2 linked regions of the Arabidopsis thaliana genome follow. Each later gene encodes a partner of the first gene's protein in a complex. Each region holds a gene or a part of one and is shown in the gene's direction. Other genes may lie near its edges. The genes, in order: MAD2 and AT2G20635.

Evidence for each region.
Region 2: MAD2 (region 1) and AT2G20635 share a complex: the UniProt entries of both Arabidopsis thaliana proteins name them as parts of the mitotic checkpoint complex.

The regions. Positions count from the first base shown.
Region 1 is NC_003074.8:9,499,595-9,506,261, forward strand, and holds MAD2 (DNA-binding HORMA family protein), read left to right. Parts: upstream 1-3,461; 5' UTR 3,462-3,637; coding exon 3,638-3,713; coding exon of another isoform or gene 3,714-3,717; exon of another isoform or gene 3,718-3,801; coding exon 3,802-3,817; exon of another isoform or gene 3,818-3,918; coding exon 3,919-4,049; intron 4,050-4,131; coding exon 4,132-4,252; intron 4,253-4,346; coding exon 4,347-4,450; intron 4,451-4,545; coding exon 4,546-4,667; intron 4,668-4,748; coding exon 4,749-4,808; 3' UTR 4,809-5,076; downstream 5,077-6,667. Other genes in the region: AT3G25960 (Pyruvate kinase family protein), read left to right, coding at 1-338; AT3G25970 (Pentatricopeptide repeat (PPR) superfamily protein), read right to left, coding at 522-2,627; AT3G25990 (Homeodomain-like superfamily protein), read right to left, coding at 5,252-5,454, 5,532-5,756, 5,859-5,987, 6,267-6,305, 6,587-6,667. UniProt on the Arabidopsis thaliana protein: Required for the execution of the mitotic checkpoint which monitors the process of kinetochore-spindle attachment and delays the onset of anaphase when this process is not complete.
Region 2 is NC_003071.7:8,896,758-8,903,424, forward strand, and holds the start of AT2G20635 (protein kinase and Mad3-BUB1-I domain-containing protein), read left to right. Parts: upstream 1-3,602; 5' UTR 3,603-3,652; coding exon 3,653-3,705; intron 3,706-3,804; coding exon 3,805-3,952; intron 3,953-4,119; coding exon 4,120-4,277; intron 4,278-4,374; coding exon 4,375-4,465; intron 4,466-4,555; coding exon 4,556-4,669; intron 4,670-4,760; coding exon 4,761-4,848; intron 4,849-5,067; coding exon 5,068-5,171; intron 5,172-5,248; coding exon 5,249-5,320; intron 5,321-5,394; coding exon 5,395-5,484; intron 5,485-5,573; coding exon 5,574-5,731; intron 5,732-5,855; coding exon 5,856-5,910; intron 5,911-5,988; coding exon 5,989-6,123; intron 6,124-6,219; coding exon 6,220-6,341; intron 6,342-6,437; coding exon 6,438-6,627; 3' UTR 6,628-6,667. Other genes in the region: AT2G20625 (hypothetical protein (DUF626)), read right to left, coding at 227-461; PIA1 (PP2C induced by AVRRPM1), read right to left, coding at 578-625, 1,084-1,206, 1,289-1,443, 1,532-1,808, 1,906-2,142, 2,859-2,891. UniProt on the Arabidopsis thaliana protein: Serine/threonine-protein kinase that performs 2 crucial functions during mitosis: it is essential for spindle-assembly checkpoint signaling and for correct chromosome alignment. Has a key role in the assembly of checkpoint proteins at the kinetochore.

The DNA.
Region 1 (6,667 bases):
CGCGGAGTGTTTTCGCGTCCGCGATCGTTGTTCTCACTAGAGGCGGTTACACGGCGGAGCTTGTGGCTAAATACAGGCCAAGCGTTCCGATTCTGTCGGTGATTATGCCAGAGATTGCTGAATGCTCGGACTCGGTAGCTCATGTGGCGAGACGTGGTTTGATTTACCGTGGGATTATTCCGGTGGTGGGATGTTCAGCTAGAGATTCAACGGAGGAGATGATTAGATTAGCTATAGGATTTGCCAAGACGAAGGGAATTTGTAAGACTGGAGATTCCATTGTGGCTTTGCACAAGATTGATGGTTCATCTATTGTCAGGATAGTGAGCGTCGAGTAATCCAATTCTTAACTTTTTTTGTTTAACCATTGTTTTTGGTCACATGATAATAAAGTTTTAAACATAATTTTCAGTTTCATTATTTGTCGTAGTTGTTGAAATTTTGAATAACACCCAAACAAACTAATAATTTTAAATAAAGTTATATCACAAGTTTTGTTTTGGCCTAAACTAAATTTTCTCTTAAGCATGAAGTGAATCTGCATCAACCCCATTATCAGAATCAAGCCACTGCATTTCCTGAGTCAAGTCTTTAATCATCATATATATATCTTGACAAAGAGGATTTGATCGATCTTCAGCATTAAAGGCCTTAACTTGATTTCTAATCTCAATCCAGCTCCAACCTGGAACTTTCTTTACACCTCTCTCCTTCATCATCTTCTTCACACTTGCTTTCTCTTCCCATTTCTTGAGATCACTATACATATGAGACAACGAAACATACGTAAAATGATCTTCTGGTTCAATCTCTAGCAAATGGTTAGCCACTTGAGTAGCCATTTCGATCTCTCCACAAGCCCTGCAAACTCCAAGGAAAGTTTTCAATACCATTGGATCAGGATTCAACGGCATTGATTCGATTAACTCTTTCGCTTTGTTCACGAGCCCTGCTCTGCCTAAGAGATCAACTGCAGCTGCGTAATGTTCCATTCGAGGTTGGATTTTGTAAACCGGTTCCATTAAATTAAGCAACTCGAGTCCCTCTTGTATTAAACCGGTGTGGCTACAAGCTGTAAGGATTGCTGTGAAGGTTACATGGTCTAGCTTCACGTTTTGGTTACACATTTGGGAGAAGAGATCAAGAGAGACTTGGCCTAAACCATGTTGAGCGTATCCAAGAATCATTGCGTTCCAAGCTACTGTGCTGTGTTTGGAGGAAATCTGTTGGAAGCATTTTCGTGCACTCTCGATTATGCCACATTTTGAGTACATCACGATCAGAGAACTGATTACAAACTCGTTTGATACGAAGCCTGATTTAGTGGCGAGCGCGTGGATCTGCTGACCTAATTGGAGTGTTGCTAGGTCCGAGCATGATCTGAGAAGTGCAGAGAAGGCGTAATCGTCGACTTTTATCTCTGAGGATCTTAAGTAGCTAAAGAACTTTACCGCATCCTCGCTGAGACCCTTCTGGGCGAACCCTGTAATGATCGAATTCCAAGAGATAAGATCCTTAGATTTTAAGGATTCAAATAGAGACAGAGCATCTTCCATGGTGCCTGTAGGAAACTGAATATACATAGAGATCAATGCATTTGTTGCAGAAGTTACTTGTTCCAATCCCTTCTTTATTACCATACCATGCAAAGACTTCCCAAAAATTTGATGTTCTTCGCCAGAGCAAGCGCTTAACAAGCCGGTGTAAGTATAAATGTCGGTTTCGACCCAATGTCTTTGCATTTGAATAAACAGTTCAAAAGCAGATTCCTTTAGCTCATGTTTAGAGAAACCTGCAATCATCGAATTCCACGAAATCAAGTCTTTTGAGCCACCCAAGCCATCAAAAACTCTCTTTGCATCTGATACTGACCCACAATCTGCATAAGAGCTGATCATCGCATTGCATATAGTGATCTCGTGTTGAAGCCCGAGTTTCAAAACCTTAGCATGAACTTGCTTTAACAAGTTACAAAACATAGGATCATCAAGCAAAGTAAGAAGTGGAGCGAAAGTGCCAGCATCCATAGTCACAGCAGCTTTCATCTCCATCAAACCCAACAACCAAAAAGCAGTCTTGATATCTCGCACTTGCACAAATCCAGCAATCAAAGCATTCCATGAAACAGAGTTAGGCTCTGAAATCTCCTTAAAAGCCTCAAAAGCATCTTCAACTCTTTCACATTTCGCATACATATCAACAAGCGAACTTCCAACATACACATTACACTCATAACCTCCCTTTATAACCAAACCATGCACTTGCTCTCCAAGATCGAACCTTTTCACAGAAGCAATCCCTTTCAACAACCTACTAAAACTATACCCATCAACATCAGATCCAGATCTCTTCATACATGTAAATAAACACCATGCATCCTCCAATTTCCCACAGCTTGTGTACCCAGAAATCATTGTGTTCCAAGACACGGAATCTCTCTTAGGCATTTCATCGAACAACATATTGGCATAACCCAAGAAGCCAAATTTTATATAAGAATCCAAAATTCGATTGGATACGTATATATCTGAGATGGAACCACATTTAATAGCGTAACAGTGAGTGAGTGAAAGCTTTTGGAAAGAGTTTAAAGAGCTCTCTAGTAGAGAGGCTAACAACGCTTTCATTCATCTGTTTCTCTGTGTTCATATGATGTCAACATCAAAGAGAGTTTATTTTATTTTATTTATGTATAAAAATATATTTTAATTATGCTTTTTTTTGGTCAAATAATCAGTTTATTATTAACTTATATATATACCTGAATTTACCTAGTAATGGATTATCAAGTGGCTAGTTAGTTTGATAAATTTGTGTTAATAACCTTATGTGGATTAATAATGGCTTAATTAAGTAAATCAAAACACATTTGAAGTTTGAGTTATTTGTAAAATTGTATTTTTTCAGTTAGACTGGAAAAAAATACCTTAGTTTTTTTTTTTTTTTTTTCTAGATTTCGGTCATGGGTGTCACGACATAAATTTATATATACATATATATGAAGTATATTTGAAATCTATTTAAAAAAAAAAGTCATAGATGAGTCGATTTACCAATAGAAACTACAAAATTTACCTTTCAACACTTAAAAGGCTTCTTAAAATTTTGATTGATGCTTCATTCGTTTATCAAAGAGACATACGGCTTAAAAGTTAAAAACCACATGGCGAGTCTAAATCCGTATGGCAGAAAACTATGGACTTTTCTATTAAATTTTTAAAACAAAGTTATTATATATTTAATATTTGGTGTATTTCTTTTAAATGTAAAATGTGTTGCAAACCAAAAATAATAATTATTACAATGGTTTGTAGAGATGTTGCTATTGGCTAAAAATAATTTGTTGTTTTTTTATATTTGATATTTTAAAAATTCTGGTAATGATATTATATTGTTTTTTTAAAAAAAATTAGTGGATTCGACCTTAAACTATAATAACCCAAACTAGCCGTTGCAAGTGCATTTCCGAGGAAGACTAGCCGTTACGCTCTTATTCCTTTTTTTTTCTTTTTCTTTCTTTCCTTCTTTTTAATCCTTCCCTCAAATATCTTTTTTTCCCTTCAAAATCATTAAAACCCTAAGCGACGCTGTTAACACTTGCGAATTCAATTTTCAAAATCACCGATCCTTAGACTCCATGGCGTCCAAAACAGCGGCTGCTAAAGATATCATCACTTTACACGGATCTGCTGCCATCGTCAGCGAATTCTTCTGTACGTATCTTCATTTTTTCTTAGACTCAATTTCAGATATCTTCTTCTCGATTTGATGTTTTTTTTTTCCTTCTTCTTCTTCCTCCAGGTTACGCTGCGAACAGGTGAGAATTGGATCGGAACTTTTCAATTTCAGTGTCTGGAAATCTTCGATTCTGTGATTTTTTTACAGTGAAATTGATTCGTTATTGGTTTCTGGGTACAGTATATTGTATAATCGTGCAGTTTATCCAGAGGAAAGTTTTGTGAAAGTGAAGAAATATGGACTTCCGATGTTGCTTATTGAAGATGAATCCGTCAAATCTTTCATGTCTAATCTCACTTCTCAGATCTCCGGTAATTTTACAAATGTCAGACTTTTATTCAATGATTCCTTTTGTGAGAGAGTCTGAGACTTGATTTTGTTTTTGGTCTAAAGAATGGCTTGAAGCTGGGAAGTTGCAGAGAGTAGTGTTAGTGATTATGAGTAAAGCTACTGGTGAAGTCTTGGAGAGGTGGAATTTTCGTATTGAGACTGATAATGAAGTTGTTGACAAAGGGTCAGTTTTTTGTTTTTAGTGTTGATACTTTCGCAAGTTTGTTTGTTTTCTTTGATTCTTTGTTTCATTATGTTATCTTTATGGAACTTTTTAGTGTGTCGAGGGAGAAGAGTGATAAGGAGATCATGAGGGAGATTCAAGCTATTATGAGACAGGTTGCTTCAAGTGTTACTTACTTGCCTTGTCTTGATGAAACATGTAAGAACCAATTCATAGGAACTTTGAGTGATCATCATTTCGGAACTAGTTTGATTTGGATTCTCGTTTTTGATTGTGCATGTTGTTTGTATTAGGTGTGTTTGATGTATTGGCGTATACGGATACTGATGTGGCTGTTCCATTCACTTGGATCGAGAGCGACCCGAAGTTGATTGCTAATCCACAGATGGTTAAGTTACACGGTTTTGATACCAAGGTAAGGAGGAGGAAGAATTTTGAAACCTTTATTTATACACTTTGAAATGTCTAAGTATTTTGGTGGTTTCATACTTTGCAGATTCACAAAGTCGACACGCTTGTCTCATACAAGAACGACGAGTGGGATGAAGAAGAGTAACAGAAGTCGGGACACACGTATGCAAGGCTCTTTGTTCAGCTTGCGTTTATCTCTTTGGGAGTTCTCATTGTTCTTAAAGGCACGTGAATCCTTTATTCACACACCTATATCGTTTTCTCTTCTGTTTTTTTTCTTTTTCTGAATTGTATGAGAATTGGAATCCTGTACTTGTGTTGTGTTTTGTTCAAAAGTTATCAGCTTTTTCATTGTCCCTGTCTCTTGTACTGAACCGTTTTGTTTACCAATCAAACTTTATGGCTCTTGGATCAAAAAGAGATTTCTCAATAAACAAATCAAATTCCTCTGATTCACAATGGCATGTCAAAAGAGGTGCATATGTACAGTGACTGATGAAAATAAAGTATTTTGGATCAAAAAAAGCTATTTATAGTGACTGATGAAAAATAAAAGGTTTCTTCTAGCCTTCTGTAGTAACCGTTTTCTCATCTCATTCCTCTGTATAAGCGACCGGATTGAAGCTCGTCCATATTGTCTATGTTTTGAAACGCGTCAAACTCTCTCAGACATGTCCATCCTCGTCGAGCCAAGAAATCTCGGTAATCTTCTTCGGTGTAGAATATCTTCTCCTCTTGATGGACTGGTAACGGATCAGATTCATCATAGTGGCACACTCTAACGGCTATCCCTGAATTCAAATGGATATTGAGAAACCTCTAACCAGAGAGTATTCGATGAATAGCATAGAAGAAAGAGTGGATTTACCTTCATCAATGCGGAGTATATAGTTCCCTAAAGGCATGTCTCGGTCAAGAGAGCGAATAACCTGTTCTTCATCTTCTAGCCAAAAAGCTCGTCTTGTTCTCAATCTAAACGCGGATCTGATAGCTTCCTTAATTGCTTCAGCAGTACCATCAATCCCAACTCGTCTTGTGTAATCTCCAAATTTCACCGTTATGATCCTCCCAGCAAATGGCTGACCATCAACGCCTGCTTCAAACATGACAACGATTAGTAGTAGTTGCCATAAAAGTTCAAAAGCTTAATAAACAAGGAGAGGCTCTCTCTAAGTTAGATTGTCTGGTTACTTACCATTTCCAGGGGTGTCTCTCCAATTCCAAGGAGGAACTCCATTTGCTGTGATGGGATCAGCAGCAATGGGGAGAGGAAGACCATCATGATCAAGCTCCGTTTCAAGATTTAGCGTTGGCCTGCCATTAGCTGCATACAGATACAACTCATATCAAGACTAAAGTGACTAACACTACTTCCACAAACCAAACAAAATCGGCTTCACATTATCACTAACATTCTACAATTTGGTATGAGTTCACTTTTATTTCACTGAATTATAAGAGAATCATAAGTTGTTGCACAATTGTTTACCCAAAGTTAGGACTGATACAACCATTTCTCTCAAAGTAATTCCCCAACTAAAAAAGATTTCAACACCACCATTTATATATACACTCAAAGATTCAATAAATGTGAGATCAATACCTTCAACAGATGTAAATGAAATACCAGTATCTTCAAAACCTACAAGAAGATAAAGATAAAGATCAATTTTAGAAGAAAACCCAAATTTACTATAAAAAGTCAATCTAGTTTAACAAACCAAATCTACAACTTTATAATTAGCCATTAATGGTCAAAAGCCTCTTTAACCAGGTTTAGCACTAAAAGAGGAACAAAACTAAAACCAAAAAAGATCAGTCTTTATCTTCTCAATCCAAATCTAAACCAAAACCCATTAAGAAATTTTATCCAAACCTGCAACAAATCAATCAGAATCCCCAAAACCAAGCTAAAGATTGTACCTTTATCTGTAAATTGCATAAAGGAATCAACTTTAGCAGAAGATGGTGTAGTAGTAGCAGGACTCTTATAGAATGCCACTT
Region 2 (6,667 bases), on another chromosome or scaffold:
TTCAAAACAGAACCATATACGGTTCCTTGTTCCTTGTAAACTAAACAGTGGGAAGTTTGTTTTAAGATCCGAAGTGTTGAAAATATGTTTCACATTTCATCAAGTGCTAAGGAAAGACAGAACAATATACGGTTCATCAAGTGCAACACTACAAAGTAGTGGAAATATCATCAAGCAACACTACAATCATCAAGGTTCCTTCTAGTCATAAACTCCAAAAATCTACTCTTATGTTCAGCCCTAGGAAACGCTATAAAACCCTGCCGACTCGCTTCATCAGCTATAAGATGGTCAATTGATGTCTTGTGAAATGGAGACCACATCCTAACTCCAGGCAATCCATTAAGCGTCTCTAGTACACTCTTAACGCTAGATGCATGCTCCCGCTCCAACATCAGTTCCACTATTCTATTCTTCTTCTCAAGAGCTTCAGTCTGCTTTACATAAGCTTCAACAACCATATCTTTCTCTTTACGCCTTTTTTTTTGCTTTTGAACTTCCATTTTGAGTTTGTGTCTGTTTCTCTACCATTGGCACTGACACGTCTTTGTCAACAGAATCAGCTTCATCATCCAAATCATCTACAATACCTTTCTGAGAGAGCCTCTCGTCGCAAGAAGCACGGCTGCATCAATCAAACAAACGAAAATGAATGAAACTTAATAACTTAACCCAGTCAACTAGAATCAGCTGAGTTGATGTCATACATTCATAACTGGCTAGAGAATATATATATCAGACCAACACAGTAAACAACAGAGATTCAAGTTCTGCAGTGTTGCAGTGTTGATAGGCCTATAGGCCCAAGTGAGCCAACTTATGTCTTTTGACTTGTCGTCTGTCTGAGGAAATCTCTCTCTATTCTAGCTTTGTAGATAAAAGAAACCATTTAGAGTATTGGATCAACAACCATGGATTTTACATTGTGGCCAGAACATTTATTGTCAATGGAATTGTTTAAGCAAGACATGACTTTGATCACACAGCTTAGGCGTTTTATACGTCTTTTGTTTCTCCCTCTCACACACACCGGAATGGTAAAGTTTATAGACAACAAAAGTTTATCTATCACTGGAACCTTACAACTATACAAGAAATGTCGTCTGTGCTTTGCTTAGAGACTGCTTCTTCTATCAACTCCTTGGCTGCCGCTTGTGGATCTTTTATGCTTTTGATCAAATCCACCGCTTCTTGGTTCGACATCACCTGATAATTAATGCAACACTCGTCAAGACATTGTTAAAGATTTCATCACTCTGATGATAACATGGGACGAGATCTCAAATACCTTCCAAACTCCATCACTTGCGAAAAGGATAAACTCAGTCTCATGATCGATATTCTCGTCTCTTATGTCTGGATCTGAGCTCAGATGTATCTTTAAGCTCTTATCTCCAAACGCCCTAGCAACCGCTAGTTGTCCATCAACTCTTGGAACATCCCCTGAAACCATTCAAGAATCGTCTATAAATTCCTCTTCTCATGTTTTATATGTGATGAGCAAGTAAGTGTCTCCATCTACAAAACTTACCTGGAATATTTGATACAAAGCCACCACGGCTTTCTATTTCCTTTTGTTCCTTGCTTGGTTCATGATCAACAGAGAGTTGAGAAGCAACACCGTTCTTTGACATCACTGCACGTGAGTCTCCAACGTTAGCAATCACTAGCGTTTTCCCATCTATCAGAATGCCTGTTACAGCCGTTGATCCACCTTTGCCAAGTTTAAGTGACTGCTCTAATATCACAGCATCGGTTGATATGTATGCATTCCTTATAGCGTTTTTCGTATCAGTCCAAAAATCCTTCTGAAATAAGTGAAACAACAAAAACATTTTAAGTCTTATCAGAGACATTATAGAAATCCATAAAAACAGATTCATGCATGCTTTAAACATGAGTTACCTCTTTGAGTATGTTATCAAAGAGATTGGTTTGCAAGTACTTGGCTACATCATGCCCTAAGTGACCATCAAAGATAGCAAACAAACCCAAATCATGGCCGTCTACTTTCTTGAACTCAGACACAACATAGTCCTCCATCGGATGGCCCGCTTTGCCTTTCACAAAGTCATAACCGTGTGCGATGTTCTTCCACACCTTGGTTTTACCTCTGCCTGTGTCAGATCCGCATAATCCAACCTTCAAATATTCACACCCAAACAACAAGAAATTATACTATTAGTTTCATTTTTAAAAAAAACTTTTTTACTACTCAATACATTATAATCATTTTATTCTTAAGCTAAAAACATAAGTTGACAAATAACAGCAAAATATAAGAAGAAAAAAAAAAGCAAATATGAAAATAAATGAGAAAGATAAATTATAAAATCAAGTTTGGTTTGATAAACAAAAAGAAATTCAAAGTTTAGACATTTAAAGAAAAACAAATGATTATTAGATCCACATAACCCTTTGTAAAGACTCAATTTCATGAATAAAATTCAGCTTGCAGAACAAAACAAACAAAAAAGATCTACATAATCCAACCTTTACCAATTCACACCAAAACACAATCACATTAATCCAAGTTCTGTAATTTCTTCATCAAGAGCAACATACATACATTTCATTATCACCAAATCTCTAACCAAAAAGAGAATATAGAAAATGCACAAATTACTGAAACAAATTCAGTAACACAAGCTCTAGAAGAATCAATATCATCGTTTAACATGCGAGATGCTAACTTCCTTAAAACGGCTCTACGTACAAGTTATCACAAAGAAACAAATATAGCTTAATGAGAAACAGAACAAGACATACAAGGATCAGATCACAAAATCAAGATTCTTTAGAGCCCTTGAAACGCTACTAAAGAAAAAAGAAAAAGACTAGCGTTGAGCTAAGCATACCTTCATCTTATGGAGAATCTCTCTGCCTGCCATTGTTACAAGAATTTGTTTCTCTGCCTTTGTGTCTGAAATATGAATGATTCTAAGAAAGAAAAACAGAGAGATGAGTTTATGTAATAAATATGAATGTGAGGTAATCAATCCACATGTGAACAGCCGGTGATTCTTATCATTATTGGCTACTGACTTCCTCCGCCGACGACTTTTCTTCTTTATATTTTTCTCAAGGCAAAAGTATTCCCTAAACAAATTCTCTCTATTATTATTTGCTACATTCTTTCACATTGCCGACAAAATAAAACATTACTTTTAAAATAAAAAACTGTTATTTCGTGCACATCATCTCATTCATTACATTATTGATCGGAAAAATATTTTTTTGTTATTACTTAAAATAACAAGACATTATTTTATCAGTTTTTCTAGTTACTCTGTCATGACAACATGTGCAACAAAGAAAGGAAACTTTATCTTAAAAATATTTTCAAACAAATTCGAACAAAATGACGTCGACAAAAAGAAATACGCGTGTAAAAGACAAACCACACGCAACAAAGGCGCGTTTAGCGCGTAAGACTAGAATCCGTGGACCTGAAGCGCGTGGGCCGGGATTTTCATTTGTCTTAACTGAAACAATGGGCCACATAATTAACAAAATAGGCCCATTTACACTTTTGGGTTATATAGAATATTTGCTCTGGTCCAACAAATTTTGAATTTCGAAAGTTAATTTTTTTTGAAAAGCTTCACTTCCCACTCTCTCTCTCTCTCTCTCTCTTCCTACGGCTGCGAAAATGACAATCGGTTACAGAGACGCCGCCGGAGACCCGCTCTTCCCGTGGCTTATGTAACTCATGCTTTATCCTTCCTTCTCATCTAACTAATTGTGCTATATGTGTCAAAATGGATTCTAATTTTCCGATGTTGTATTTTGGGGTTTTCACAGGGAGATTAAAAATTCGATGGAGGATCTATACGCTGGTAAAAATTCCGGATACGATCTCGATAAGCTTCTATTTGATTGTATCTCAACTTATAAGAAAGATTCTCGGTACCGAAATGACCTCAGATTCCTCAAGATCTGGTTTCTCTATGTAACTTTACTAAAACCCTCTCTCCCAACTTGTTTGAGCTTAAATTGTGCTTTTCTTTCCTCGATTGTTTGTTTGATTAGCATTCTTAGGGTTTGGGATTGTTATATTGCGAATCAACTGATGTAGATGTTACAGTTTGGGGGTTAAATTGTTGAATCTCTTCTTAGCTTGAAGGCAGGGAAGATTTTGAGAGGGTTTATAGAGAAATTGAAGAGACTGAGATATGTAAAGGGCATTCGTTGCTCTATGAATGGTATGCTATTTTTCTTGAGGTCAAAGGATTGTGGCGAAGAGCAAATTCTGTTTATCAGACTGGTCTTTCAAGGTCTCTTATCTTTCTCCTTGTTCTGTGGCTCCTTCCTTATCTTTTTCCTCTAGTTTGTGGTTTCATTTCTTATTTGTTTCTCATTGGAGAATTGTAGGAAAGCTGAACCATTTGACAGGTTAAAAGAGGCTCACTCATTGTTCTTACAAAGAATCTCTAAGAGGACCAAAGCATCTTCCCTTGAAAAGGTTTATTTTTTAATTTTAATGAGTAGCATATGGTTATTCTAATGCACTTTGATAGCTTTAGTTGAGGATTGAACGTTTTCTTTCTGGCAGGTTGGTGATGATGCTCAGGCCACTGACTTGGAGACGGGTTTTGTGAATCCATGGGAAACATCCACTGTGAACGGCTTAATTCACAAGATAAAACCACAGCTTGTGAAATATGATGTAAGGCTGATGGAAAATCATGATATTTTACATGATTTAACTTATATAGGGAGGCTTGTCCACTGAGTTTCTTTCTTTATGTTTGCATCAGGGGTACCATGTAAGCAACAAAGTTTTCCCTGGAAAGGCCAACCTGTCATCTTTGCAGAATTATTCCAGAAATAAGATCATTGAGATAGGTATACTTTTTTCATACCAATCTAGTCTGTCACCGCTACAGGATAAAGAATCCTTCTTTTTATTATAAGATGCATTTTTCAAATTAAAAGTGGCTGGGCATGTATTCATTTGTGTAAAAGAAATTGATTCCCGCTTTGTTCTCACCTGGGACAATATGTCTTCTCTGAGACTAAAATAAAAAAAGTGACCTGGATCCATTGGCTCTGTCTATTTGCTAGGTGGAAGAAAGTACCAGATGAAGGGCTGTGCTGGCCAAGGTGGTTTTGCTCAAGTGTTCAAAGCATTCATTGACAGCAATCCTGATGAAGTAGTTGCTCTAAAGGTAGATAGACCCTTAAAGTTTTTTCAAATACAGTATGATGCTAAATGCTCATATTGCATATACAAATCTCTTCACAGGTACAAAAACCACCTTTTCCTTGGGAATTCCACATGTATCGCCAACTTGATTGCAGGATCCCAGATAGCCAAGTATGCCCTTTTCCATTAATATTACCAGTTCACAGGTGTTTCACACCGTACTAATTACTCTCATGCTATGTTAGAGATCAAGTTTTGGATTGGCTCAGAGAGTGCACGTGTATTCAGACTACAGTATACTTGTCTGCGATTATTTATCACACGGGACACTCCAGGTAGGTGGTATCTTAGGACTCTCACGGACTGAATATACAAAATGCAAACATAGTTCTTTGCTTCATTTGCCTTCTTTTTGTGATTTAAGGACGTCATAAACTCGTATGTCGTTGTTGGAAAGTCCATGGAAGAAGTTTTGTGCATGTATTACACAATAGAAATGCTGAACATGCTGGAGACTTTGCACAGTGTTGGAATCATTCATGGTGATTTCAAGCCAGACAATCTGCTGATCCGATACCCTCCGTAAGTTTATTCCGCTCCAATATTGCTGATTAGATTGTAGATAAAGACTTTTTGGTCATGAAGCCATGTACTTGTATGTTAACGATCGTGGCAGAGACTGACATACCTCACGGATTACTTGCAGAGAAAACCTAACTGAGACAGGCTTTCATGAGAAAACAGGTTCTTGGAGCAAGAAGGTAAATCCCTTATACAACTACTAGTACTCTGATTTGTGTGTGTCCACAATCTGATGCAACTTTTCATTTCTACCTCAGGGTCTCTGTCTTGTTGACTGGGGTAGAGGAATAGACTTGAGCTTGTTTCCTAGAACCACCGAGTTTACAGGAGATTGTCGTACCTCAGGCTTCCGTTGCGTGGAGATGAAGGAGGATAAACCTTGGAAGTTTCAGGCAAGTCTTTAAAATCACACTGCTTCAGCAAGAATTTTTCTTTGCATGATTAGACTTTTAACCATTCGAGTCCATTGTAACATGTGTTATATATAGGTGGACACTTATGGACTATGTGTAATCGTCCACATGATGCTGCACAACGTCTACATGGAGATCGAGAAGAAGCAATCTCTGGACGGTGGCTACATTAATATGCCGAGAACTTCATTTAAAAGGTCTCAAAAGAATAATTCAACTTCATTTGCTTGTTTTGTCTCTCAAACAAAAAAAAATTATTGTTTGGATATTGAATCACTAAGTTATTTGCTCAGATACTGGAAGGTGGATCTGTGGAAAGAACTGTTCACGAAGCTGCTCAACAGAGAAACGTGTGAAGATGACACAGAGACACTGAGGAATCTGAGAAAGTCAATGGAAGAGTATATATGCTCTGATCCTAAGCTCATGAAGAAGCTTAACGAGTTACTCGCCAAACAACGCATCTCGTTATGCTCTTCGTAATCTTCACGCAGTAATTAAAAAGTCTCTGTATAGTGTTTGT